Struthio camelus: one gene and its partners. The protein of the gene in region 4 purifies or fractionates together with the protein of the main gene of each other region. This does not show direct contact. Links are inferred from orthologs where the notes say so. Each region holds a gene or a part of one and is shown on either strand. Other genes may lie near its edges. The genes, in order: DIAPH1, MYL6, MAP2K1 and IQGAP1.

Region 1 (7,494 bases), on a different chromosome or scaffold from region 4:
TTAACTATATCAGAGTTCTGAAGAGAATTACTTTCACTGCTTTCTAATATCACACAGGTGTTTCTCAGGAAGCTGCAACTGATGTAAACCAACAGCATAGGTGGACTTTTTATAACCTCCATTGTTCCCTTACGACGGGGGACAAACACAGGAGTTGCATTTTGGATAGAATGAAGTAACAGAAGAACCAAGGAGGAGGCTGCTGCAGTGAAGAGATTGGGAAGTGACCAAGTAGCGCACAAGTATATTAGTCACTAGGACAGGAAGGGTGGGTCGAGGTTTGGAAGTTGGGAAGGCGGCGGCAGCAGCAAGACTTGCTTAAAAGCCTGAATGCACTGTCAACTCCAGGAGAAGCAGCAGCAAACTGTAATCTAATAAAGAGACATGATGATTTGCACACTTAGAGCAAATTAGAGAGCATTAAGTTTGCAAATAAAATACCAATGACAATTGATTGCATCATATTTATAGCAATCAGCGGCCAAAATGTTATGCTGCAGAAGACAGAGTTCATATGCAAAACTGTGCAGTAGGAGAGAGGTGAAGATGAAGGAATAGCTAACTTTTGAGGCTAAAGCAAGCTTCATAAATATGTCACAATGTCATCTACCATATTAGGTGCTTATGCTATTTTCAGTCTCGGAGCAAGTGTTGCTATTGTTGTACTTCCTAGCTAGAGGTACTCTGTTTCCCAGCACATGGAAAAAGTCTTGTGCGTTAATTACTCTGGATTTCTGCTTAGCCAGCAGATATAAAAGATTAGCTTCTGAATTTGGAGCAGGTCACTGGAAGCCAGGAAACTGAATTTGTCTTCTGAAATTTTTACAAATAAAAAACTTACTACAGAAACTGAACTCTCTTCATTCTGAAATCAAAAGCAGTAAGGCCAGGTTTTCAAAGGTGTTTAACTTGCCAAAATTCCAGTGGGCACCTTTTAGCCTCTTTAAGTACCTACGAACTTCGAAAACCTGCCTTGTAGTGAGAAGACAAGAATCCACCTGTCACCTAATTCCAGTTCATACCTCCTTACTTAATACATTCATGAAAATCATATATCCAACCAGTATAATCAGTATGTTTTTTGTTGTTTTAGTTAAGACCATCTGAAACACTACTACGAGGCTATATAATCAGATTTAAACTACCGAACTCAAACTACCATAAATAACACAAAATAGTAAACATATTTATGTGCACAGTAATAATAAAGGAACAAAAATAGCTCCCTGCTGTGTAATCTAATAGATGACCCATATGGACACAACATATCCTTATGAATAGCAAAAAAGTGTCGTTTTATCTATGACAATGAACTTGCGTTAAAAAAAAAAAAAGAGTACAAACAAAAAAGAAGGTTAATCTCAGTTTTCAGATCTCCTTTCTACTTCTACGTTGAGGCAACAGCCACAAACCGAAACAGGAAGTTCCATCTGAATCTGAGGAAAAACTTCTTGACTGTGAGGGTGACAGAGCACTGGCACAGGTTGCCCAGAGAGGTTGTGGCGTCTCCTTCCCTGGAGATATTCAAAACCTGCTTGGACGTGATCCTGCACGACGTGCTCTAGAGGACCCTGCTTGAGCAGGGGGTTGGACTCGATGATCTCCAGAGGTCCCTTCCAGCCTTGGCCATTCTGTGATTCCCAAAGGAGAACATGTTTCCTTTCGGCAAGCTACATCCTGCAAACGCGTCAGTACACAAGCATATATCCAGACTGCAACAAAGAGAGGAGAAAGTACCTAACCCAGAGTCCAGTGGTATGCCAACAGGAAAGGTGAGGGGAAGACATGCATGTACCCTGCTGATGCCAAGAGGAACCCAATACTATTTCAAACTCTGAACAACAGGATTACTGCATTTTCACCTCCCATTGTTATAGCAGATATTTTGCTAAACCGCTACTGAATTCAGCTCCTACTGCATTTAATAGGAGCAGAAGCAGTCCATGAACTGATACGGAAGAAAAGCAGAGTGTAAACACTCCGTAAGTCATGCAGCAGTCAGAAGAGACGGAAAGGGATGCACCGATCTTTCGCTTAGCGTCGAGACTTGTAGTTGTTTCCAGAGTGCCAATACAGGTGACCCCCCTCCCCCGCCAAACTTCCCAACCAGCAAAAACCCCTAGTTGTCTCCAGTTTCAGCCAGTTCCTGATAACATCTTCAAAGCCGCTGCATACAGTCAGCGCAACTGATTAATCACTTAAGTGCACATCACCGCAGAATAACTCCCGCAGCGCGGCGAGCGCGGGCAGCGCAGCGCTCGGCAGCGCCCTGCGCGCTTGCAGAAAGTTCAGCGCAGGCGGAAAGCCGGACGGCAGAAACGGCTGCGGCAGCGGGGCGACGGCGGCGGCGAGGGACCTCTGGCCGCCACCCAGCCCAGCGCCCCGCTCCCGCGGGGTCCGCCACAGCGGCGGGCGGGACACCGCGTTCAGGCGCCTTTTGAGCATCACCAAGGCCGGCGGGGGGGGGAGGGAGGGGGGGGGGACCCGTTGCCGTGAAAACGAGCGACGCTCAGCGCGAAGCGGGGGGGCCCCGGCGGCCCCGCCGCCGTCGCGCCCGCCACGGACCCCCCCCCCCCCGGGCAGACCCAGACCGCCAGCGAGGCGCGGGCAGCGGCGGGGGGAGCCCGCCCCCCCCCCCCTTCCTCGGGGGGGAACAAACCCGTCAGCAAGAGAAAACCGGTCCGCTTCCACCGGGCAGGCTGCCACAGGAAAGTTGCCGCCCGCCGGCCGGCCGGCAGCGGAGCGGCTTTGGCCGGGGTTTCCTCGCTGCGGGCGGCCCCGGCCCCCCCCGCCGCCCCGCGGTGACCGCGGCCGCCCGGGCCCGGCACCTGCGGCAGGTGCGGGCGGCGGCGCCGCAGCCCCCCCCCCCGCTCCCGCGCCGCCACTCACGAATTTCTTGGACTTGCTGGGGTCGCCGGGCCCCGCCGCCGCCGCCGCCGCCTCCTCGGGCGCCGGGGCCTTGCCCCGCTTCTTGTCGCGGCCGCCGCCGCGGGCCGCCCCCCCGCCGCCCTCCATGCCGCCGCCGGCTCCTCAGGCCGCCGAGCCCGCGCTGCCCAACCGCCCCGGCCGCGCCCGGCCCGGCCCCGCCCGCCTCATCCCGCATGCAGCATCTCATTAGCCGCATGAATATTCATGAGCCCGCTTCCGCTTCCGCTCCGGCCCCGCCCACTTCCTGCCGCCGCCGCCGCGCGCCCCCTGGCGGCGCCCGGCCGCCGCCGCCGCGAAACGCTCTCCCGGCGCCGCTGGCGCTCGGGCAGCTCCGAAGCAGGGAGGCGGCGCGCCGCCTTGGGGGGTTCTTGCCCTACGCCGCTGTGGCGGCACCTGCTCTTTCATTCAGTCCTCTGGGGCCGGTTTCGGCTCGCTGGGGGACCTGCGGGAGGTTGCCAACGTTTTGTCATCGGGCCCCGTTTTCCTGCTAAGGAGGCTTTGGAAAAAAACCCACACCCGTGTCCTTAAGAATTAAGACATGCTAGCTCCAGCCCCACCAATATACGCGGTCCTGTTTGGAGCAGAAACGCGTCCCTAACTGCGGCGAGGGCTGAAGCGTACCTCTTCCCGGGAGCTCCTGCTCCGCCACAGAACTCCAGGTACGCCAGCAAGCCAGGGGTCACCAACACACCCCCTCCGAAAACGTAACTAGAACTTAATATACCTGAAAAATAACCTGGTACAGCAGACTGAGCAGCAGCGTGGCTTCCTCGGTGCTGTGCGTGAGGCATCCGTGGTGGCACGCTGCAGAGGATCCTCCTCTGAGGCCCTTCCACCTTCCTTCCTTCAGTGAACCCGCTTGGATACGGGAGGCCTGGCACATGTTCCAGTCTTATTTTCAGCTGGATGCTACAGCAATTCAGCAGCTTCTATCGCCATTGAGCCAAATTAATTAACAGGTAAGCATCTAAGTGGCGAGTACTGCCAATCTAGGCTTCTTTGCAAGCCAATTTTTTGTGTGGCACCTCGTTGCCGAAGAACAGAGTTGACGTGATAGCTTTCTGCGTCACAGTACTTCGGGCACCACTGGACTTGCTCAGAGTGGAGTCAGCCCCATCACGCACAGCAACGGTTGCTTCACCTTACGTGGGACCGCAGACAGCACCGGGCAGGACAGCCAGACTGTTTGTTCACACACGTGCTATCCGAGTGTGCCTGGAGCATCCCACTCGAGTGCTTTGAGGGTCCTTTTGAGGGTGCCATGTGGTTCACGCCACAACCCTTCTCTAAAGGCCAGTGATCCAAGTTCAGCTTCTGCAAGCAAAGCCCTTTGGGCTTTTTCTTATCTATTGTTTTTCTGTCACCAAAGCATAGTATTTCTCCCAACCTTTTTTTCATTACCTTCTGGAGGCTTGCTCCATCCATGTGGGCCTCGGGTTGTTTCTTTTTCAAACAAGCAGGCACAGGATATTTCAAAGGGTGCCAGGCTCAGGATAAAAAGGGTGCTTCTGCTTCAGGTTGGATTCTTCCAGCCCTAAGCGCCTATCCCTACAAAGCCAAAATAACTGCTTGTTCTGGGTACCCAAACTAGCCATGCTGTGTGTCCAGCCCCCAGGAGTCAGCGCACATGTCCCTCGCAGGAGGAGTTGAACCTGAGTATATAAGCACAGTTGCAGAAGCCTCACAAACCACCAGCTAGGATTATGCATGAAATTTTTCTAAAACACTGCTACTGCAGTGGGAGCTTGATCCCATCCTTGGAGTAACAACCACATGCATTCATTTCTAGCTAGCCTTTCTCTCCCGCAACATGATCTGTGCAAATACTAAAATAGAAATAAAGCAGAGTTACTCACCAAGGACAGGAACATCTCTGAATATATTCACTCTTCAGAGCCAAATGAATTCTTCTGACCCCTTCATCTAAGTTTCTATTAAATAGAACTGAGCTACAATGCAGTGGCAAAATCAGTCGCACCTTTTTTTGGCACCCAGCATTACATCCTGTTCCCATCAAAAGGTTTGCAAGTCACCCTGTAGGGCAGCATAGCTGCACCCGCGTGGGCATTATTCTGATAATTCAGTCTCTCAACACACATCTTTCCTGCTTAGGTCATAGTCAATATTTGATGCACAGCAGGCAAGCCTGAAACAAGCAGCTATTCAAAAGTGCATTCATCAAATAGGCCTGAATTTTCTCCTTTTAATGACCAGAAAATGCTTGTTTGCTTCTGTTCCATTTGCCCGTGAAATCACAGAATGTGCTCAACAAAACACAGTCCTGTCTCCTCTCCGAGAGGAGGGGGGACACTTCTAGTGCCCAACACCCATTTTCCCAGATTCATACCAGGCAGGACCACTCTGATATTGGCCAGAAAATGTTTTGAAGGGATAGTTAAGGCATCCTCTGCAACTAAAGCCAAGCTGCTCCTAGTCCCGGAGGTGCGCCCATGTTCCGGGCTCCAGCCTTACAGTCGCTATATGCTGCTCATGACTAAGCACTCTTCCTTTTGCTGCCAGTTCACTTATGGAGCTCCACTGACTTACCTTGCTTCCAAATGGGGAGCTAGTGACGTGGTTGCGGCCTCCAGGTTAAATTACATCATTCGCTGTGTCCAAGGGGCAGCTGCTAGTAGTTCAGGACAGGCCACCTTGTCTTCCCTCTCTTTTTGGCTGCCATAAGCATTAAGCACCTGCTCCAGTTACTCTGTTGGCTCCCAGTCATTTTTGGAAGAGTCATTTAAGGCTTTTGGTCTTCATTTTCAAAGCAATTAGTGAGCCCGGTTACGGCTCTATGAGAAGTCCACATTTCAGCTTATCAGCCCACATCAGAGCTGTGTTCCTCTGGGACGACTGCAGACTGCAAAATCTGAACAAAGCATGAGGCTGGCCTGTAACAACACATCCTTGGCCAAGGAGGGTCAAGCTCTGGGGGGAACTGTCAGACGGAGCCACAACTCTGTCACCTTTAGGAAACCTCCCAGATCAAGGGCTTCCACCTCAATCACAGAGACATTCACATCATCCCTACCTCTATTTTGAACAACTGAATTCAAAAATACAAAGGGAGCTTTTTTCCTGCTAAAATATAGGAAAGAAAATACAGCAAGAGAGGACAAAAGTACTCTCTAGGAACTTTGTGACTGAATTTTTTTCACCCTTCTGTGATCTCTGTTGCCCATCGATAACAGCAACTAAATGCAGTCAGTTGACGCTCACTGTGTACGTTATAAACTGCAGCTGTTTTATCTATTTGTGCAAGTGTTGGTTCTCACACATTTCCTAAAGATAAATAAATCTGGCTTAATTTAATTTCAGTTGGTACCAGACTATCCTGTACTTTATAAAGCAGCCTACCAGTCAATTTTGTGTTAGATACATATCATGACCCCACATTCAAGATGTGCAAGTTTGCCACCTTATCTAGTATATTACTACTGTGGATTTCACACTTGTCTTGTTCCTATCCACTTCAGTAGGCATCTATTACTGGGTGATGCCAGAGACAAGACACTGGTCTACATGAACCTTTGGTCTAATGCAGCTTGAGTAGTCCTGCAGTATCAGATGGCAATTTTAGTTCAGTTTCTCATTTCTGACAGCTCCGTTGCAGTGGGAAAATACAACTGGGAGGAAAAATCTCTACAGCCTGAATTTGTTTCACAGCCGTTTCCAAGAAAACCCATCAGAAACCCAGATAAAGACAATCCTCTGAATTTGCAGCCTTATTTCAAAACCCAGAACAGACAAGGATTCTGAAGAGGGAAAGTTTGAATAGCACAGGCTGTACAAGTGATGCATACCATATCACAAGGAGGAAAGAAAGCACTTACGTTTCTCTACTGTGGGAGGAATGGAGCCTAAAAAGGCTGCCAGGGGAGGGCTTATTATGGGATAGAAAGAGATGTGCGAATCAAAGTGCAGGAGGAAGAGCAATACAACTGAAAGCCCCAGAATTTGTTGCTTCTTAAAAGTAACAGAGGTACCTCAATGCAAACAGGACAGGTAATTTTGACTAAGAACTGGCTGTGGAGTTTTTGCGAAGTTTACAGTCTTCATCAGTAAGAGATGGAGCTACAAGGGGAGGATTTCCCTCTTCTTTTGAAGAAGCAAATATTGACTACTACCAGAGGTGAGAGACTGCATTCCTGTAAATCAGCTTTGATACAACTGATGACACCATCAGATGAAACAAGCTAGCTCTCTGATGATATCAGATGAAACAGGAACTGGAATTTAAAAAAAAAAAAAGTTATTTTCTGTTCAGATTCCAGTCTTTGTTTTTCAAAACTCTGGCCATTGTACTGGCATTTTGAGTCTTCTGATATGCAAAGTACAGCATGTCAGCTAAAGCACATAAGGAACACAAATATGATTAACCAAGCCTTAGGGTAAGCGCATAGCAATACTTTACAGAACATACATCCAGTGTCCAAAAATTTGTGCTTAGAAGTGTCTTTGAATTTAACAACCTTGGTCCTTTTTATTTTTTTTCCTAGTCCCTTTCTGAACCCACAGAAGCTTTCAGTATTCACAGTACTTCATGGCAAGTTGCACTGTCCATCT
Region 2 (7,529 bases), on a different chromosome or scaffold from region 4:
GTCTCCAAGGCTGACCAGGAGGTCCTTGGAGCCAGCTGGGGGCTCAGGGGGGTTTGGGAGGTCCCTGGGGCCAGCCAGGAGTTCAGGGGGTCCCCAGGACCAGCTGGGGGATCACCAGAGTTTGGAGTACCCCAAAGGCTGGCCAGAGGCTCACAGGAGCTCAGGGGCCTCCCAGGGCCAGCCAGGGGCTTGGGGAGATTCAGGGGGCCTCCAAGCTGGCTTGGAGCTCACCAGGTCCTGGGGACCGGCAGAAGGGTTGCCCAGGTTCGGGGCATCCCCAGGGCTGGCCAGGGGGGTCCCGGGGCCAGCAGCACTCCAGCAAGTCACGACACTCACCCAGGGTGACGAGGACGTGGCGGATCTCAGCCCCCATGACGGTGCCGTTGCCCTCCTTGTCAAAGACCCGCAGCCCCTCCACGTAGTCCTCGAAGCAGCCCTGGTCCTTGTTCTTGGCGATGGTCTGCATCATGGGCAGGAACTGCTCGAAGTTCAGGGTCTTCAGGTGCATCTCTGGCCGGGAAGGGGCAGGGACACAGGCGGTGAGGACGGGCTGGGGGCCGCCGCGCCGTGGCCCGGGGCCTGTCTGCGAAGGGGTCCCCCCCGCTCACCATCGCTCTTGGGGTTCCCCAGCACCTTCATGACCTCGGCGTTGGTGGGGTTCTGGCCCAGCGCCCGCATCACGTCGCCGCACTGGCTGTACAGGATCTTCCCGTCACCCGTGCGGTCGAAGAGCTGGAACGCCTCCTTGAAATCTGCGGGGCCGTCGGCGTCAGCGGGGCCGGGCACCCACCGGACCCACGGCACCGCCAGGAGCCTCCACCCCACCTGCGGGACCTCGCGTCCCAGGGGCGCCCGCACGCTGTGCCCTGCACCCCACTGCACTACGCACCTTGCACCCCGCAGGACTCCGTGGGGTCTTACGGCCCATAGGACCCTTCATGTTGTGCCCTGCACCCCACAGGACCCTGCACCCCACTGCACTACGCACCTCGCACCCCACAGGACTCCATGGGGTCTTACAGCCCATAGGGCCCTGCACCCCACGGGACCCTTCATGTTGTGCCCTGCACCCCACAGGACCCTGCACCCCACTGCACTACGCACCTCGCACCCCACAGGACTCCATGGGGTCTTACAGCCCATAGGGCCCTGCACCCCACGGGACCCTTCATGTTGTGCCCTGCACCCCACAGGACCCTGCACCCCACTGCACTACGCACCTCGCACCCCACAGGACTCCGTGGGGTCTTACAGCCCATAGGACCCTTCATGTTGTGCCCTGCACCCCACAGGACCCTGCACCCCACTGCACTACGCACCTCGCACCCCACAGGACTCCGTGGGGTCTTACAGCCCATAGGACCCTTCATGTTGTGCCCTGCACCCCACAGGACCCTGCACCCCACTGCACTACGCACCTCGCAGGACTCCGTGGGGTCTTACAGGCCATAGGGCCCTGCACCCCACAGGACCCTTCATATTGTGCCCTGCACCCACAGGACCCTGCACCCCACTGCACTACGCACCTCGCACCCCACAGGACTCCGTGGGGTCTTACGGCCCATAGGACCCTTCATGTTGTGCCCTGCACCCCACAGGACCCTGCACCCCACTGCACTACGCACCTCGCACCCCACAGGACTCCGTGGGGTCTTACGGCCCATAGGACCCTTCATGTTGTGCCCTGCATCCCATGGTACCCTGTATGTTGTACCCTGCACCCCATTGCTCCATGCACCCTACGGGACCCTGCACCTCACTCTCTGTGGGACCCCACATGTCGTACCCGACGCCCCACGGGACCCCGCACCCCACGGGACCCGGCGCTGCCTCCCTGGGCAGCCGCCAGCTCCCGCCTCGGGTTTCGTTTCCGAGCGGGATCCGGTTTCCCGGGAGGAACCCGACACCCGGCGGGAACCGGGTCACGGAGCCGCCTCGCCCCGGAGGGCCCAGGCGTCCGAGCCCCCGCCGCCCCCGTTCCCCCCTCCCGCTGGGCTAGAGCTGCCCGAGCAGGAAGAGGGCCCAGGCGTCCGGGCCGCCTCCCGCCCTGCTCCGGGCTCTCACCCCTCCCCTCCGGGGAGGGGACCCAGGCGTCCGGGCGGGATGCTGCCCGTGCAGGAAGCGCACCGATGCCCGGGCCGCCCCCTCCCCTGCGCCAGGGACCCAGGCGTCCGGGCGGGATGCTGCCCGTGCAGGAAGCGCACCGATGCCCGGGCCGCCCCCTCCCCTGCGCCAGGGACCCAGGCGTCCGGGCGGCCCCACCCGGCAGGAATGCGCGGCCCGGCCCCGCGTTATGCCCATATAAGGGCAAATGGCGCAACCGGGGCCCGGCGCCGCCGCCGTCCCCCCCCCCCCCCCCCGGTACCGGGCGGCGCTGCGCACCGGGAAACGCCCGAGCTGCCGGGCCCAAACACCCCCCCGCCCCCCCCCCGGCACTCACCGGCCGTCTGCTCCTCCGTGAAGTCGCACTGCGGGGAGAGCGCGGCCGTCAGCCCGCACCGGGCCGCGCCGTCGGGCGCCAGCGCCGCGAACCGGCCCCGCCGCCCCGCTCCCCGCCGTGCATCGCCCCCGGCCCCCCCTTCCCCCCGCACTGCCCCCAGGCCCGGTGCGTCCCGGTACCCCCCCGCCCACTGCGCCCTGGGCCTTCGCCCCACGTTGCATCCAGCTCCGGTTCCCACCCCCCCCCTCGGGCATTGCACTCGCTTCCCGGTGTCCCCCCCCGCCAATTGCACTCGGTTCCCCCGTGCATTACCCTCTATGTCCCCCCCGTGCATCGCCCCCGGTTCCCCTATGCACCGCCCCGGCCCCCCTCCCCGTGCATCGCCCCCGGTTCCCGGTGCCCCCCCCGTGCACCGCCCCGGCCCCCACCATGGCGGCGCCGCTCCCGCTCCGCTCCGGGCACTGGGAGCCGCTTCCCGGCGGCACCAGCCCTTTCTACCGCCCGACGTCACCGCCCTCCCATTGGCCGCGCGCCGAGTGCGTCATCGCACGCTAATGAGGCGCTCATTATGCATGCATGAGGGGCGGGGCGAGTTGAGACCCCGCCCCTGCTCCCGGGGGGGATTTTTTGCCTATAGATGGGCACGGAGCAGAGCCGGGGGGGGGGGGCGCTGGGGACACCCCACGCGCGACACCCCAGTGGGGGCACCCGATAGGGGACGCAGCCTGGGGGAGCCCTACGGTGCCACCCCCGTGACGACACCCGCGTGGGGGACACCCCAACAGATGACTCACTAGGAGACGTCAACGGGGGGGGGGACACCCCCTTGATGGCACCCCATGGAGGACAGCCCATGGGGGACACCCCACCGGTGACACCCCAACAGGGGACACCTCAGAGGTGACATCCTATAGGGGACAACCCAACAGGGGACACCTCCTTGATGGCACCCCATGGAGGACACCCCAGTGGGGGACATCCCAATGACAGCAGCCCACAGCCTCCTTTGGCATGGAGGACATGCCAATGACAGTATCCCCGTAGGGGACAACCCAACAGGGGTCACCTCATTGATAGCACCTCATGGAGGACAGCCCATGGGGGACACCCCAATGGGGGAACCACAATGGAGACACACCACCGGTGACACCTCACAGGGGACCACCCAATAGGAAACCCCAACAGGGAGCAAACCAACAGGGAATGGCCCAAAGACAGCACACCATGGGCGACAGCCCGTAGAGGACAACCCAACAGGGGACACCTCCTTGATGGCACCCCATGGAGGACATCCCAATGACAGCAGCCCATAGGGGACCCTGCATGGACATGCCAATGACAGTGTCCCCGTAGGGGGTAACTCAGCAGGGGACACCGCATTGATGGCACCCCATGGAAGACATCCTAATGACAGCACCATCCAGGGGGACCCCCAGGAGGACACCCCGCTGATGGCACCCCAATAGGGGACACCGCCCCCCCCCGCAAGCCCCCCAGGGACCACACAGAGGCCGGGGCTCTCTCCTCCCTCCTTTATTTGCAGGGGGACGGGGTGGGGGGACACGGGGGCCGCGGCCCCCCGGAAGGCAGCGAGGGGGACGTGCGCGGCGGTGGCACGGCGGTGGCTCCAACACAAGCGTCTCCCCGCGGCGGGGGGCAGGTTTCGCCCTCGACGGAAACGGGGGCGAAAAGGCACGACATAAATATAACAGTCGAAAGCAGCAGCAGCAGCGGGGGGGGCGGCGGTGGGGGGGCCGGGGCCGGCGCCCCGTCCGGCCCCCCGGCCCCCCCGGTCTTTGGTCAGTGCAAGGCAGACGGCGGTGGCGGCGCTAGGGGCTGCTGCGCTCGTCCCGCAGCTCGTACCTAGGGAGAGTGGGGTGAGCGCGGCCCCTCGCCTGTCCCCCCCCCCCAAGCCCCAGGATGGACCCCCAGCCCCAGGGCACGGACCCCCGGCATGGGGGAAGAGAGCCCCCCATTCCCTAAAGGCAGATAGCCCACTCCCTAGGGACAGACCCTCCCCATCTCTGGGGGCAGATACCCCATTCCCGGGGGCAGGACCCCCCCCATCCCTGGGGGCAGGACCCCCCCCCCCATCCCTTGCTGCAGATACCCCATTCCCGGGGGCAGGACCCCCCTCATCCCTGGGGGCAGGACCCCCCCCCCATCCCTTGCTGCAGATATCCCATTCCCGGGGGCAGGACCCCCCCCATCCCTGGGGGCAGGACCCCCCCCCCCAATCCCTTGCTGCAGATATCCCATTCCCGGGGGCAGGACCCCCCCTCATCCCTGGGGGCAGGACCCCCCTCCCCAATCCCTTGCTGCAGATACCCATTCCCAGGGGCAGGACCCCCCTCATCCCTGGGGGCAGGACCCCCCCCATCCCTTGCTGCAGATACCCATTCCCGGGGGCAGCAGGACCCCCCCCCATCCCTGGGGGCAGGACCCCCTGCATGGGTCCCAGCCCCAGGGCAGCTCCCCCCCCTGCCCAGCCCCACTCACCAGTGGGCCCCCCCCTCGGCCAAGTCCACCTGCGCCAGGTCCAGATGGAGCTGGGGGAGAGCGAGGGCTCAGGAGGGAGGGAGGGAGGGGTCCCGCGGGGGCCCCCCGCCGCCCCCCGGCCCCCCGCCCTACCTTCCCCAGCGCCTCCTTCTCCCGCGCCATGAAGGACGCCGCGGACTTGACATGAGCCTCCAGCTTGCGCCGCGCCGCCTCCTCCAGCGACACGTCCCACTCGAACCTGCGGAGACCGGGCTGTGCTGGGAGGCGCTGGGAGGTGCTGGGATGCACTGGGCAGGGCTGCACCCCCCCCACCCCCCCCAAAACCTCTCATTGAAGTCGGGGTTCAAGGTCTTCTTCTGCACGCTGGTCTTCCTCTTGGTGGCCCGGCTCTTGTCGGGCAGGAGGACGAGGGAGACGTAGGGGTCGGGCAGGTCCTTGGAGACCGGCTTCAGCTGCCTGCAGCGGGGAGAGGGCGCGGGATGGAGCCCCCCAGGGGTGCCGAGCCCCCCGCCGCCGCCCCCCCCCTGTGGCGGACCCAGGTGTCCGGGCGCCCCCTCCGTTACCTGCAGGCGTGCACCACGGCCACCAGCTTCCGCTCGTCCGCGTGGTACCAGAGCGTGAGCTGCAGCCGGCCCAGGGGGGGCTCCGCCGGCTCCGCGCGGCTGCCAAGCCCACCGTCAGCCCCGGCCGGGTCGGGGGGGGGGGGTCACGGCTCCCGGACCCCCACCCCCGGCTGCACCCGGACCCCCCTGCGCAGCCAGGCTTTGCATCTGCAGCCCCCTTCCCAGCCAGGGCTTTGCACCCAGACCCCCACCCCGATGCAGGCACCACGCCGGGACCCCCTTGGCCAAGCTGCAGATTTTGGGGGGGGGGGGGGGCGCAGCCCTACCTGTCGGCGGGGGCCAGGCGCTGGCGCAGCAGCCCCCCGGCCCCGCTCTCCTCCTCCCGCCGCGGCTCCGCGTCCTGGGGCTCGGGCTCCCCCCCGCCGCCGGCTGCCGCCCCCAACCGCTGCGACGCCAGGATCTGGGGCGGGGGGGGGAGGCCGAGCAGCGGGGTGAGGGGGGGTCCCGGCCCCGTCGTGCTGTGCATCCCCCCCCCGGCGCTGAGACTCACCGCCAGCTGCGCCCGCAGCAGGACCTGCGCGCCGGGACCCCCCCCGGCCAGCGGGAACCAGCCGTCCAGGGCGAGCGCCTCGGAGGCCAGGAGCTGGGGCAGGGGCAGGCTGAGGGCGCCCAGGGGCTGCCCCCCCTCGTCCTTCACCTGGGGGCAACAGGGGCGAGCTCAGGGACCCCCGGGAGCGCCGGGACCCCCGGGACCGCCGGGGACGGACCCCGATACCTGCAGCTCCAGCGACTCCGCGTGGGGCCGCTTGATGAGGAAGGAGAAGCCTTCGTCCCACACCGGGTCGGAGCTGGGGGTGCAAGTCTGGGGAGGGGAGGGGGCAGGAGAGAGGGTGAGAAACACCCTCTCCCCCCCCCCCCACCCCGGCAGGACCCCCGGGCCGGCGCTCACCTTGGTCTTGGCGCAGACGTCGCGCACGGCGAGGCTGGCGTAGGCGGCGGGCGGCTTGGCGCCCTTGAGGACCTGGGGACGGCGACACGGCGGGCAGGGGGTGAGCGGCGCCCCCCGGGGCGCGGGGACAAGGGGACCCAGGCGTCCGGGCCCCCGCTCACCGGGAGGTCGGCGGCTCGGTCCACGAAGACGGAGAGCAGGGCGGCCGAGAGCTCCTCGCCCCGGGCGGGCTGGATGAGGCTGTTGGCGCGCAGGACCTGGGGGAGCGGCGGGTGGGCAGGGGCCGAGGCCGGCTGAGACCCGGCCAGCTCGTGGCGCGTGTGGCCGAGCCGTTACCTGCTCCAGGAGGGCGGCGCTGGGGCACGGCACCAAGGTCTCCAGCCGCACGTGGAGGCGGCCGGACTTCACCTCCTCCAGCGGCAGCCACTGGCGGGACGAGACGGCGGGTGAGACCCCCCCCGGGGGCGCCCACCGCGGCCCCCCCCGTCCCGGCCCCTCTCCTACCTCGTCCACCAAGCGGCTGCTCAGCACCCGGCGCAGCGGCACCTTGCACCTGCGGAGGGGGGCGGTGAGGGCCGGCCGGGTTGGGGGGACGCGGCATCGCCCCCCCCCCCCCCAAACCCCGGCACCCACCGGCCCAGGAAGTCGTCCTTGTCGATGTCCTTGTCAAAGAGGTCGAACTCCACGTCCTGCCCCGGGACGTCGTCCACGATCACCTGGCGAGGGAGAGCCGTCGCTGGGAAGGCGGAGGCGGCGCCCGGACGCCTGGGTCCCCCCCCCGCCCCAGCCCAACCCTGCCTCAGTTTCCCCTCCCGGCCGGCCCCCCATCCCGCACCTCGTAGACCTCGTTCCAGCGGGGGTTGAGCTCCTCCTTGACGACGCGGCTGCGGAAAGCCTTCCCGGCCACCCGCACCTTGGCGTAGGGGTCCGACTTGCCCCGCACCATGCCCTTGAGGAAGTTGTCCTTGGCCACCAGGTTCTCGGCCTCCAGGAGATGGATCCGGAGCACGTTCTGGGGGGGGGGGGGACGGATGTGTGGGACCGGGCTGCAGGGGGACAGAGCTGGGGGCAGCTCTGG
Region 3 (6,908 bases), about 3.0 Mb from region 4:
ACAGGTTTGTATATGGTGCAAGCAAATGAGTAACTGGAGATCCACATAGCCAAAATTCCATGAAACCAGGAACTAAGCTTAAAAGAAAAGTTAATATTTAGTCTACAAATGCTAACGTACTTCAAACACTTGACAAGGTATACGTATACAAAAATGGACAGACACCTCCACCATTGATTTCAAGCACTGACCAACAGTAGGAGGGAGAGAGAGAAAGGAGGAGAGAGAATCAAGCTCATAGATGAAGGCAAGCAGCCACTGTTTTCCATTTCATTCCCAGGCAATTTCCAAATTCTTATTCAACTATTCTTTGTTATTTAGTGTTTCACAATAAGGATTTAATATTTGCAGGATGAACGGATATTTTCATAATTAATTAATTCTAGCTACTTATGGGGCAACAAGCTGCTGGATTTACTTTTTCGTGAAGCTGCTTCTTAGAAAACAAAAAACCCAGACACCCACCCCCCCATACACACAAACCCAAACACCTACCACCTAAGACTGTCAAAAGCCAAGTATGAGCTCTAATATATGACAAAGAGTAAAAACCTAGGAGATACGTATGTCAAATAAATTAATGTACAAAGTGCAAAAAGGAAGCAAGAGAGTTATTTGGTGTAAATAAGATTTAATAACCCCATGAGCCTCCATAAACTTTCAACAAGTAATAGAGTATCAGACATGCATAAAAAAATTTAAAATTAAGGACATTTCTTGAATAGAAAAGTACTGAAGAAATACTACGTTTAATATATTGGACGGCTGGCAATTAATTTTAGGTACCAGAAAAAACAAGTGATAGGTATAACAGATTTATTCTATAAGATCAGGCTACTAAAATACCCTAGGGACCTCTGAAAACTAAATCAAGGAATCTACAATTACCTTGAAGAAAGTCAACTGGAACAGGCTATATAAGCTAATATAAAAACATTTTTCCCCCTACCATCCAGAACAAAGATCACATAATATTTAGATCAAAATCCTTAGATACAATAAGCAATCTCTGCCTAAAGATAATTCTTAAAGAGCTCACCTTTCATTTAATCATCAAAATAGTTTGCTAGAAATGTCACAGATGGAGATGTTAGATACTGAATATTTTCAGAGATATTATATCAAAGCAGTTAAATGAGAACTGAACTTATCTGAAAATCTGACAGCAACAATAGCAGCGCAATGCTTTAAAGTCTGAGACTTACACATCTCAGCGCAGCTCTGTTCATGACACAGCGGTACACAAGCATCTCAGAGCTCAGTTTCTGTATCCAAGGAGGAAGAAGAGTGAACTGACCATGCCAGGGCAGGAATCTCTTCTCCCAGTACACTTTTCTTTTCCAAACCTCAGTTCATAGTGCTAGCCCAACACCTCAATCTACAAATTAAGTAGTGAACACAGACCTGTTAACCTCTAGCAAGCTTCTTTTACAACACTTCATTACCCTACAGTGCAACATGTAAAACAACCCACCTTGCTCGTCCACATCCACTCAACACGAAGCTCATCTCATAAGCAGTATGTAACAATATAACGTTCACTTTTTTCCCCCCAAGTATATCAATGATTAGTTCAGACCCACCCTCCTGACATTAGTGTAATGTTTTTATTATACTCAGGAAAGCTCAAAAGCAGTTTCTACAAACATATTTGTCAAACTACTTATCATTACAGGTTAATTACTGAAAAAATCAAAAGTTTTCTGATATTAGTGTTATTTTGGTTTAAAGCAAAAGGCAATAACAAAAAAAAAACCCTTTTCTACAACTTAAGTGATTTTCAGTATAATTTCTTCCCACATACACATTTACAAAATGTGCTATTGGAAAGGTAAAATTTGCCATTAGCGAACTATTATAGTAATGAAATCTAACAATTTCAATTTAACAAATATTAGCGTGAGCTTCACAGATATATACTCCTATACCCGATTTCTGTGGCCACATGAAAATTATAACTTCACTGTAATTACAGACGTTTATTGAGATGCCTACAAGAAGAAAGTTACACCGGTTTTCTCTCCCTTTTCCAGCTTGTTTACCCGGCACGTCTGACAGCAGTGGATTTACGGCCGAGAGCACCGTCCAGTTATTTTCCTGAGAGAACTCTCGGGCCGCTAAGGCGAAGGGGGCGCGGACCGCGGGAAGGAATAACTCGCATTTCCCCGGAAAACGGGCCGCGCCGGGCGAAAGGGCGCCGCGGAGGCCGGGCAGCCGGAGGGGCGGCGCAGCCGGCCCCGCCGGGGCCCCTCAGCGCCGGGCCCGAGGGCGCGGCTGCGGCCCCGCGCGCCGCCACCTCAGGGCGCCGCCACCTCAGGGCGCCGCCACCTCAGGGCGCCGCCACCTCAGGGCGCCGCCACCTCAGGGCGCCGCCGGAGGAAGAGTCACCCCCCCCCACACACACACACACACACACACTCTCCACTCACTCTGCCGAGCTGGTCCCGTTGACGGCGGAGCCATCCGGCGCCGGGTTGAGCTGGATGGGCCCTGGCTTCTTCTTCGGCATTTTTCAGCCCGGGAGACCGCAGAGCGTAACCCACGGAGAAGCGCTGTCCCCACTTCGACCGGCTCCAGGGGACTTCCTGCGGCGGGGCAAACTTAGCGGCTGCGGGCAGCCGCCGCCGACGCCGCGGCGTTGCGCTGTGCCGCCGCCGTCAGGCCCCGGCGCGCCGCGCCGCGCGGACCCTCCCTCCCACCCAGCCCAGCCCCGCTCCGGGCCCGGACTCCGCGGCACCGAACCTTCTCCCAGCGGCTCCCGACGGGCAGGACTACCCGGTCTCAAAATGTGCCCTTCCTTGCTCCTGCGCAGGCGCTGGCCGCGCGGGCCCGCCCAGCGCGCAGGCGCGGCGCCAGGCGCGTGCGCACTGCGGACGGGAAGCCACGCCGATGGTTTGCCCTCACTACGCTTTGCCCTCAGCTGCCGGTCCCGCGGGAGGCAGCGGGGCGGGGGGACATCTCTCCTCGGGGTGCCCGTTCCGGGGCGCCGTCCTCCGGCCGCGCCCCTGCCGCCCCGCCGCGGGGCTGAGCGCCCGGGCTGCCCCCGCGGCTCGGCGCTCTGGGCGTTCCCGCTCAGCTCCCGCCTCCGCTCGGGCGGGCGCGCAGCCTGCTCCCCGCATCCCGCTCACCTGAGATAGGCTTTTTTTTTTTTTTTTAAACTTTCTTTTTCTCTCCCCAGACGCTTGCGGCGACGGGCTCTGAAGCTGCTAGGCCGCTCTGCGGGCAGAGGGGAAGCGGCGGGAGCCCGGCGCGGGCTCTGCGCCGGCGGCGGAGCGGCCGCACCTGGACGCTTTCGGCGCCTGGGACCTCCGGCGGCCGCGTAATCCCCGGTTAACACGTTCTCTGACTTTTTATGGAAGTTTTATTTCGAGAATGCTCACAGCGATTAATTAACGTAGGCTGTTCCCAACTAGCGACATCATTTGCTCTGTAGACAAAGCCACATGGTTAAAGCAGTGTTTTATGGAACGGTTTGTTTCTCTCCCTCGTGCGCAGTCATTACTGTACCCATATTTGGTAACTACTGCGTTTATAATTAAAACAGAAACCTCAGTGGGGGTAATAATGGCTGCTAAATTTTTCCCATAGTAAATGCCTGAAGTAAAAATGAAAACTGAGGATTACAGTTGGAAAACAATTATAAATAGTAAAATGAGTTTGAAAATGAAATGCAAAAACTGCTTTTGTTACAACGCTGCTTTCACTACTAAGAATGACCAGATTTGGATATCATTTGAAGAAGAGGTAATCAATCCCTAGTTGAAGGGAGGGTCCGTCACATGTTAGGTAATTACAACATTGTAAGTCCAAATATATTTCACATATTCATGTGATGGTGGCTTTAAGTACGTGTACGTTTCTATGAAGTTCTGACTTTCCTAACCGTTTGATCCTGAGATTCTCTGGTGCTTCGTAATTACGTTATTTTAGTGAACCTAAAGATATAACCCAGAGAATGCTATTTTCAAGTAGCTCTCTATCATATATTGATAAAGAAAAACAAAAATGTGGGGCTGAGAAAGTATGATGTTATAAAAAAAATGCTGTACACTGGGATTGTACTTTATGAACCCACTGCCTCCTTTAATAATTTTAGGGTTAAACATAGGCATCCTGAACTCATAAAAAGAAGGGCAGAGACCCCACCCCATGGAAAGAACAGTACATTGTTATATATGGGTTAATGCAAGAAAAAATACATCAACAAAATTGTGAGGGTAAAATTCCAGAGAACTAAAGCCACCTTACTGCTGAAAAAGAGCCTCCATATTGGGATTTAAGGTAGTTAATACTGCCTTGCTTTAACACTGACTTGCTTTAATTTTCCTGAGCGTTTCCACACAGAATGACCTAGTTCACTGATTCCAGCTGGGAAGTAATCTGAATTTTTATTACCAAATGCATCCCGTCCTATAGGTCCGGACACCTAGCTAAATTGGGAGAAACAACCAGGCAACAACTCTTTCCCTATCCAAAAGGTTCCAGAGGGAGAGTAAGTTATAGATGAGCTTAAGAGACTTTACACCTCGTACATCCTTTTGCTCTTCCATGTCGAGGAGCGCTATACAACTAGAGGCTGTATTTTGTTACTTTCCTGTGATATTAATCCGGCATGAGTACATTTTTTTTTAAGATCTAGTTTTTAACTGAATCTGTTCTATGACAGTTGACTGCTCAGCTGAAAGAACTGTAATGCTGCAACAGTGTTTGTGATAGCAACACATGCAAGGATGCCTGCAGTTATTTACAGTAGCTTGTGAAGTCTAAGTATCAAGTCTCTCTGTGATAAAAAAAAGGGAAAAAAATGTTTTTACTACAGAAGAAATTGAGTTGCAGCTGAGGTTGTTTTCCCCTTTACCCAACTGCGTGTGGAGAAATGCATGGACTCCTTTGTCTGACACACTGAACTCCTTTGCAGAGAATATGCGAGTCTCAGAGAATGTACAATTATGACAAATGCCTTGTATAATTGTAGTTGCACTATATTGCAGTTGTTCACATGAGTTATGCAACTCTAGTTATTCTAATAGGTTGTAAAGTATGTCCTCTTTCTCGGAGCAGATTATTGCAAGGAAGATATTATTTTCTTTTAAAGGTCCGGGTTGAACAAACAAGAATTTTAGTTATGAGCTGTAATTTTTCCCCATAAGCTTTGAATCATTTTTCTCCTTCTAACATTGTTTTTTTTTTTTCCTATCAGGTTAGACTATATACTAAAAAGCCTACATAAACAGGTGAATGTCTGGACATGTTTACCGACAACAGAGGTTTCAGTATGCAGACTTTTTTGAAATACAGCAAGAAATGTGTGTGTATCACATACATTATTTCAGCTGACAGTAAAAGTGCAGAGTAAATTCCATCACATAACTTATTTTTTAAGTAATTTGTATGAAGAACTACTATGAATTCTGTTTCAATTTTCTGTGATTTGCAAATGTAAAATAATGATTATACTTTTGGTCAAAGCAGTCATTAATGCTTTTATGGAAATTGAAATTTATTATGGGAAAAATGCCCTATATATTGTGCAAAATGCTCTATTATTCCTAGCATCTCACCCATTTCTAAAGTAAAAAAGACTAAATTATTTTATTTTCACAGCTCTGCCCTTCATACACACACTCCCCCGTCTATTAAATGCCAGGTAACGTTAAGAGATAGCTCCCTCCTGCGGTGTACTTTATACTTGCACTGCAAACAACACTGCGGTCTGAATTCACTTACCTGTTTTAGAGTCCATTTAACCTACTGCAAGACAAAGGTATTTTGATTGTCTGAATACAGAAATATAATCATATGTGTACAGACTGATGCCACCTCAAGAACCATTTCAATATAATTGCTGCTGCCATCACCTAGTTCCTCAGGCGCTATCGTACTCTTGGAACTTTTAGGGGGACCAAGCCTTAAAAAAAGGGCTGGATGGCCTCTAGGCTTTGTTCAATGAGACCTAAGACGCTTTGGGGATTTTTTTTGTTTGTTAGTAAGAACGGACGATCTTACTGATCAGTATAGGCATACTATTATTTCCTAAATGATCTATTTTATTTTGCGTGATTATACAGTATATTTGAAATGTTTCAAGAATGTTGTAGGTTGGTTGGAACTTCTCTAAAACAAACAGATTTAACTTCAGTATATTTGCAACTGAAAATAAAGCACATTTCCTCACCTAAAACAAAGCAATTGTAAAGCCGGTGGGATGTGGGTTTTTCTTACAGACAGGTGTCTCTGAATATGGCTCACGCAGGAGAAGATGAACAAAAAAATATAAGCGAGGCAGTGTAATCCGTAAGAAAGACTTCCAAGCAGGGAGACTTTCTGATTTATTGATTCAACTACTTCTTGAAAAAAAACAGAACTGTAATATATGTCCCTGTAAATAGAACTGCATCAAAGAAGTTTGTCTCCATTACCACTTTTTTCTCTCATGAGACTAACCTAAAAAAACTGAATTTTGGCTAGTTTCTTGTATGAGAAAGAAAAGAATACTAAAGATTTGGAGACTCAATAATCCATATAATAAGGGGAGATAACTTGCAGGAGGCTGATACTGAATCTGTGAAGCAGATATATAGTATATAAAAATACAGAACCTATAAAGTAGCTAAAATATCTGTTAAGTTCCCCTCACCTACCAGTCAGCAGTCAGGAATAAAACACTTATTTCAGTATGAATTATTCCTTTCCTCACGAACTTGATTACTGCATACCTTAATTGCAGTCCTAAATTAGCCCAGTTTTTAAAACCTGATTGCCACATAAAGCTGTATATTTTACTGCCGAGACATACACACACAAAATTTTATTTGCAAGATTTATTACTTCTTAATCTATTTAGTGCTTAACAGAGCAATTCAGGGAAACAATTAGTCCCATAAGCAATGGAATTTAAGAAGCCTAAC
Region 4 (7,062 bases):
AAGTCATGAGAAGAGATGACTGTCATGGAGGAAAACATTAGACAAACTAATCTGTTTCACTCCTATTCTTCACTTATAGCATGTAAGATCACTTGTTTGCAAAAGATTTAAAACTAGCAACAATAAGAATTTACACATTCATTTTTAATAGTTCCCTTCTCTTGACATAGCAGATACAGGTATCTACCCCCACACACCTCATGTTCACAGTGTATTTTCATTAATTGTCTGAATGAAGAAATACAGCATGCTTTCACACTTTATAAACGTGGAGATAACGCAGAAGAAGGAGGGGGCTACATGTATGCTGGAAGACAGGAATACATTCAAAATTATTTCAACACATTAAACAAAAAGGTCATGAAAAAACAGAATAATATTCAACAGGGTCAATTAAAAGGTAATAACACTTAGGAAAATGTAATTGGCTGCACAAACATAGGATGGGGAACAGACTTCATCAGCATGCCTTCAAGGAAAAGGATGGCAAGTCAGCAAAACTCTACCACATCATGCCATTATGAAAACCGAGATACCATGCTGGAACGCATGAACAACAGCATACCTAGCAGGATACACGAAATAATCCTTATGCTCTCATCAGCATGTTAATGCCCCAGTTGGAAAACTTCTTCCTGTTTTGGCAGTGCACTTCCAGAAAGACATGGATTAAGTGGAGAGATGTCAAGACAATCCAGGAGTAATGACCTCATCTATTAAATAGGACCCACAGGGAAACTCATATGAAAGAATTGGGTTTTTTTAGTCTAAGAGAAAAGAGCAAGGAAATACTTTGTAACAATTCAGATTTGTAAAAGGCTGCAGTGAAGAGAATAACCTGTTCTCCGTTTCTGTTGATAAGTAATGGCGTAATACCGCAGCAAGACATACACAGGTGGGATAGCAGGGAGGATCCTTCCAGTGTTAAGAATACGGAAGCACTGGAACAATTGCTGAAGGCGTAGCTATGGAGTCCCTGTCACAGAAGTCCTTAAGAACATATTATATAAGCACATCAGGAACGAGCTAGACAAAGTTGCATTTGCCCCTGTCAGGCAGAAAAATAGACTAGAGGTAGCCGCTAAAGGCCCTCGTAGGCTTTTTTTTTTTTTTTTTAAATGAATCTATATAGCTGCTCAGAAACACAGTCAAGAATAATTGCTATGAAATTATTCCACTTAACAAGTATCACAACTCTTTTTAATACACCAGCAGTTTCAAGCCCACTTATTCTTACCTCTTGGCTTCCTCCAGATGGCAAAGATATTCATAAGCCACGTTCTGGCGCCGTCTTTCATCCATCTCCTCCGCTGTTAACCTCTCATTATCCAGGACAGCTGCGAACAGTCAAACAGATTCTCAGGTTCTTGAGGATTGAATGCAAATGAACAGACAAACCAAAAACCAGATCCAACCTTTCCCACAGGAGCTCACTTTTATTTGATTCAGAAAACGAAGAACCAAATAAACAACAGAACAGAAAGTAAAGCTGAAGCTATCCCATTTCCTTACCCTTCCTCCCTTGCCAAATAAATGTCATTTTCCTTCTTTTGGATTTCTCCATTTGCTTCTGATCCAATTTTTTGCATCTTCCAATTTCCTATAAACAGCCCTTTCTCTTCTTATTTCCTTCTAGCTTTACCTTTCTCTTCCTAAAAAGTGCATCAGTGACCATGTCTCTCCACCTACCTTCTGATTTTGGTAATCAAAGATTAAAGGAGGACAGCGATATATCATCACACCATAAAATCCCTTTTATATAGTTATACTCAATCTCTAAAAGAGAGGGCAATGCTACTCATAATCCTCACCTGGAGAGGAAGCGTTCAGATCCACAACCTGTGCATCATGTTTGGATTGATCTGAGGACCTATTGAGGGGTGTATGCCTAAATCTTTCAGACTGTGTTCAAAGCCGCAGTGATACAGCCTGTCCTTTCCACTCTTACAACTAAACACCTCATCCATGCTCTTATGGGGAAAAAATGCACGTTCTTCGGTTTCAAGGAGTAGTTTGACGAATAGGAAACGTCTCTTACTACTGTTAATCAAAGGTTAGCTCACACCTAAAATGCCTTCATCAAATAAGTGTAACGACAAGGTATCAACTGCAGTATTGGGTCTCAAACAAAATTTTGCTTCAGACTGCCACGGGTCTCCTAGAGAACCGGTCCAGGGCATGCCAAAAGCCTCTTACTGCTTCAGCCTCTCCCAAAGTTACAAGGGCTGAAAGCTGTCACAAATCCCACGATAACAGCTACCAGCAGGGAGAATTCCTCTCCCCTCCCGGCCCCCGCCTCAGCGCTGCCTTCTCGAGCAGCGCGGGGCGGCCAGCGCTTCCGGCGGGCCCTGCCGCCGCCGCCCCTCACCGCAGCGCTGCAACTTCTCCGCCCTCACTGACTTTTGACGTGATAGCGCAGCACAAACTCTGACGCGTAGCACAAAACTCCAACGGGGGCTTAAACTAAAGCCTCCGTCCCCAAAGCGTAATTCCAACGCGCCCGGGTGCCTTCGCCGCAACCGGCGGTGAGGCCGGGAAGAGCAGGGCAGGGCAGGGCAGGGCAGGGCAGGGCAGGGCCCCGGCCGGCCGCCGCGCCGCGCCCACCGCGGCGGACATCTTGGGCGAGGCCCGGCCGCCCCCCGCCAGGCGGGGGCGCCGCAGCCGGGGTCAGCGCCGCCCGCCGCGCCCCAGCGTCGCCCGCGGACGAGGCCCCGCCGCTCCCTCCGGGCCCGCGGCGTCCCGGCCCCCGCGCGGGGACGAGCGGGGCGTCGCCAGGCAGGATGCTCCTCGGCGGCCGCCCGGCTCGGCCGAGCCCGGCCGCCTCTCGGTACTCACAGCCGTAGTGGGGCCGGGACACGGCCAGCCCGTCCACCTCCTCCGCCGCCGCCGCCATGGCGCTGCGCTGGGCCGCCCGGAGCTGCTGCGGGCGCGGCGGTTCCTCTTCCTGCCGCTCCGGGTGTGGCGGAGGAGGAGCCGCCGCCGCCGCTCCGCGCTCGCCCCCCGCTCCCCCCGCCCCGGCCGCGCCCCGGCCGCCTCCGCCGCGGCCGCAGCGAGGCGCTGCCCTGCCACGACCCCCCCGCGCCGCGCCGCGCCGCGGTCTGGGGCGCCGCCCGGGCAGCGTCCCCGCCGCGGCCGACCGGACCCGGCGCCCGGCTCGGCCCCGTCCCGCTGCCCTCAGCCCGGCGGACGCGGCGCGCCGCCCTCCCCCCGTCCCGCTGCCCACGCGCGGGGCGCCGCCGCCCGCCCCGCTCCCCCCCGGCGCTGCCCACGCGCGGGGCGCCGCCCCCCCCAGCCTTGCTCCCCCCCGGCGCTGCCCACGCGCGGGGCGCCGCCCCCCCCAGCCTTGCTCCCCCCCCGGCGCTGCCCACGCGCGGGGCGCCGCCCCCCCCCAGCCTTGCTCCCCCCCGGCGCTGCCCACGCGCGGGGCGCCGCCCCCCCCCAGCCTTGCTCCCCCCCGGCGCTGCCCACGCGCGGGGCGCCGCCCCCCCCCCAGCCTTGCTCCCCCCCGGCGCTGCCCACGCGCGGGGCGCCGCCCCCCCCCAGCCTTGCTCCCCCCGGCGCTGCCCACGCGCGGGGCGCCACCCCCCGGCCCCCCAGCCCCGCTCCCCCCCCCCCGGCGCTGCCCACAGGCATCAGCACTGGAGCTTCGCAGGGCTGGGCGCTGTAGAAAAACAGCAAAAAAGGAGACAGGTCTGATGTTAGAAAGTTTGTGCTCTGTGTTAGAAAAAGTGTGCTCCCGTATACTGATATAAATGGAACTGTTAATGGTAGTTGGATTTTGGAGACTCGTGGGAGGACTTCTTCATGAAAGATCATTCCTAATCAGCTTCAAAATGGACTATATGGCTCAGTAAAGGAAGGGAGGGAGGGGGGCGGCTGGGAATAGGACTGTGGGGGAGAGGGAAGACTGAACGGCAAGGAACCGTTTGCAAGTTCCTCTCGCCGCCGAGGGCGGGTTTGCAGTGCGAGGAGGTAAAGCAGCGGGAGGAAGCGTTCCCTCTCCAGCCAAGCCAGATTCGGTCTGTTGGCGCTGGTGGACCTGCTGAAGTACGTGACTGACCAACAGCTCACAGAGATGGAGAATATGTGGTATCTCACAATATTAATTTGTCCTTAAAACAACAGATACAAATCAATGTTAACGCAACACAGTGAACATCGGAAAAACAATACTAACACGCATATACAACGACAGGTTCTAATTTACCCATTACAGCTCAGGTGGGAGATCCTGGAGCTGAAAACTTCAGCTCAGTGCTGAGCAATGGTCCAAAGGCAAAGAGAATTTTGGAAATTATGAATAGTAGTATCTTGCAGCTAAGATAGTTTAAGGATATTCATGAGGTGAAATGACTTGCCTGACCACTTATATCAGTTGGTCTCCTAAAAGACAGTCATTCTCTCTGCAAGCCTTACTCCATAGTATTAGGAAAGAAATGCAGTAGTACAAAGCAGGAAACTTCATTTAGCCAGTGCATCCTGAATCCTGACTGAGACACTTATCTTGAATAGAGATGTGCCCAATTTGAAATATACCTCACTTTTGGTCATCCCCCCTTAAAAAATAATATAGGCGAACAAAAATAGGTACAGAGAAAGGCAACAATGAGGATCAGAACTACAGAAGGGCTTTCCTGTCAGAAGAGGATAACTAGCTAGGACACTGAGAGAGACCTGTGAGGAGAGAAAAGGGGCTTGAAAGAGATGCACAGAACATGAGAAGGAGACTAGGCAACATGTTTTCATTCCTTCTGACAAAACACACGTTAATCCCAAATTTAACCATAAAGCACTTTTAATCCAAACTAAAGGAAATGCCTTTTTACAAAGTATAACACTATAGAAATCAGTATGACATTATTTTGAAGACCAGAAGAAAAGGAGTTAGACAAATGCACAGAGGTTCATCAAAGGCTACTAAACAAACTGGTCTAGATGAAAGCTTGGGAAGATCATACGTCACTGGATGGCGGAGTAAGAAGGGACCTCTTTCCACGCATGCCTTATTTGTGCTCTCTATCTGTCCGTATTCTCAACAGATCAATATCAGACACAGGACCCTGGACTAAAGAGGCCTGTGATTTGATTCAGTGAGGCTGGGAGTTTTTGTTGTTGGTGGGTTTTTTTTTATGAAGAAACATGCAGGCAGTGATCCTGAGGAAGAACAAATTTTCCCATTAAGTATTGTTGAAAGAGACACTAATGAATGTAAGTAATGGGCTATAATGATGATAGTAATAATAATAAGTGATGGCAACAATTTTGTAAGACCATGACACCCCTCAGCTCTTAGTCAAAATGTTTGGTAACAGTTATAATTCTAATATTAATATTTATTTATATTACTTCATATGTGGCCACTCTGCAGTTATACAACGAGAAGACATTTTAAACAATGTTTCTATATAGACTGTGGAGTGCAGAACTGGTTTTGTTCCCCTAAAATCCCAGAATAATTTTTGCACATCTCCATAATCCTAGTGAAAAAAAAAATCATAAACTTGGTCTTGTCTATAAGACCCATTCTGACAAGAATAAAACAAGATTATCACACATTTGCAGTTTCAAAGTTTCTGGCTGAACCTCTTCAAGGTTATACTTGAATCGCTCCTGTAATGGCCCCACCGATCATTGTCTCTAAGATTTCTGGTCTTTGTTACTGTCTCTACTAACTGCTGTTTGTTAGGGTTTGTGTATCTTTGTGTTTAATTTATTGCCTCTCCTGTTTCTTGTCTTCTTTTTTTTTTTTTAATGTTGAATAGCCGCTAGCTAGATAGCCTTTCACAAAGCACTACAGAGGTACCTATTTTTCTCTAGTTTCACCGTTTTAGTTATCAATTCTGTACAAAATTTAATTATTCTTTATTTGGCCTTGACTGCCTAATCACCAGGCTTCCCTGAGGAAACGAGAGCTGCAAAACTCAGTCCTTTATTTAAACTACTGTTATCTGTTCCTTTGCAAGTATTTACTAGCCACTTTCTTTATCGAGAAAGATTATTTCTGTGAATGGTGCTGGGGGGAAAAAAACACAGATTACCTGAAGACTCTGAAGCTGCCATTCTGCAGTCGCTTCAAAATAACCTAGCTGCAGGCTGCCACTGAAACAGGGAATCTCTCATCTCTTGTATCCCCCTCCAAACATTATAGTATATACAACGATCCTGCCTGCCTTTCCAAAAAACCACATGGTCTCTTAGTCCAAAAAAGATTGGGAGATAATAGCATATTCAAACAATGTTCCACTGAAGAATTTCTCATGTATGTCCTCATTTCTGCCAAAGTAAAAGCTGAAGATGGAGTAGGATCTGCTCTAGGTCTCATTTAGCACTAAGAATTCCAAGCCATGACTTATGCTATGACACACAAACCCCTCAGAAAGCTGAGAGAACAGATGTCTTTTGCTGCTCTACACAACATCCTTCATTCTCCTGACTCGTCTCATCCGTAACAGTCATTCCTTAATACTGTTCTTTGCGCTTCAAGTATTCATAGACAATTGAGACCTTTCCCTTTAGATCTCATTTGTCCGGGATAGGTTTATTTAGGTCTGTAACAATGTTTAGATCCCTAATCATTTTTGCTGTCTTCTCTAATTACCCAGTTTAGCTACATGTTCCGTGTTAATGGGCCCAGACTGGCCTGCAGGAATCCAGGCACAATTGCGTCAGTTGAAAATATTTCTATGACTCCTACCCCTCACATATCTGATGATACTGTTTTGTATATGGTCATATGTCAGGCTGTGGCTGCACCAGATCAGAAACGTAGTGGCCAAATGAGACAAGTTGTTGCCCTGGTCTAAAAACGCAGTGCTGTTTCAAAACTGCACTCCCTCAGCCCTGGCCCTCCCATCCTTGTGGCAGGGAACTTTGCAAGAGGCTCTGGGAAAGCTGCAGAGGAAGTGGCTGCCCACTTGGGGGAGGAAGACATGGCCAGCCCCATACCACTTGCTTCTGCAGTGCCAGACCAGCCAGGCAAGACAGGTGAGTCTGGCTCACGATATGGGGTCTCCTCCATCCTATTTGTTTCCAGACTTGCTTTTGCATCCTGACCTCACTTCA

Evidence for each region.
Region 1: the proteins of IQGAP1 (region 4) and DIAPH1 purify together in Homo sapiens (affinity purification with western blotting; 3 studies listed by BioGRID and IntAct, with this or other methods). This does not show direct contact. The link is inferred for Struthio camelus from reciprocal best matches to the Homo sapiens genes IQGAP1 and DIAPH1.
Region 2: the proteins of IQGAP1 (region 4) and MYL6 purify together in Homo sapiens (affinity purification with mass spectrometry; 4 studies listed by BioGRID and IntAct, counting the BioPlex papers as one, with this or other methods). This does not show direct contact. The link is inferred for Struthio camelus from reciprocal best matches to the Homo sapiens genes IQGAP1 and MYL6.
Region 3: the proteins of IQGAP1 (region 4) and MAP2K1 purify together in Homo sapiens (affinity purification with western blotting; 3 studies listed by BioGRID, with this or other methods). This does not show direct contact. The link is inferred for Struthio camelus from reciprocal best matches to the Homo sapiens genes IQGAP1 and MAP2K1.

What each region holds. Positions count from the first base shown.
Region 1 is NC_090954.1:22,034,252-22,041,745, reverse strand, and holds the start of DIAPH1 (protein diaphanous homolog 1), read right to left. Parts: upstream 3,016-7,494; coding exon 2,890-3,015; intron 1-2,889. UniProt on the Homo sapiens protein: Actin nucleation and elongation factor required for the assembly of F-actin structures, such as actin cables and stress fibers. Binds to the barbed end of the actin filament and slows down actin polymerization and depolymerization.
Region 2 is NC_090969.1:569,968-577,496, forward strand, and holds the start of MYL6 (myosin light polypeptide 6), read right to left. Parts: upstream 3,011-7,529; 5' UTR 2,872-3,010; coding exon 2,869-2,871; intron 2,469-2,868; coding exon 2,441-2,468; intron 753-2,440; coding exon 609-752; intron 511-608; coding exon 337-510; intron 1-336. Other genes in the region: ESYT1 (extended synaptotagmin-1), read right to left, coding at 4,270-4,303, 4,940-4,989, 5,072-5,177, 5,264-5,395, 5,503-5,601, 5,829-5,962, 6,053-6,199, 6,278-6,364 and 6 more. UniProt on the Homo sapiens protein: Regulatory light chain of myosin. Does not bind calcium.
Region 3 is NC_090953.1:3,196,850-3,203,757, forward strand, and holds the start of MAP2K1 (dual specificity mitogen-activated protein kinase kinase 1), read right to left. Parts: upstream 3,016-6,908; 5' UTR 2,743-3,015; intron 2,586-2,742; 5' UTR 2,510-2,585; coding exon 2,430-2,509; intron 1-2,429. UniProt on the Homo sapiens protein: Dual specificity protein kinase which acts as an essential component of the MAP kinase signal transduction pathway.
Region 4 is NC_090953.1:208,601-215,662, forward strand, and holds the start of IQGAP1 (ras GTPase-activating-like protein IQGAP1), read right to left. Parts: upstream 3,004-7,062; 5' UTR 2,894-3,003; coding exon 2,836-2,893; intron 1,338-2,835; coding exon 1,238-1,337; intron 1-1,237. UniProt on the Homo sapiens protein: Plays a crucial role in regulating the dynamics and assembly of the actin cytoskeleton.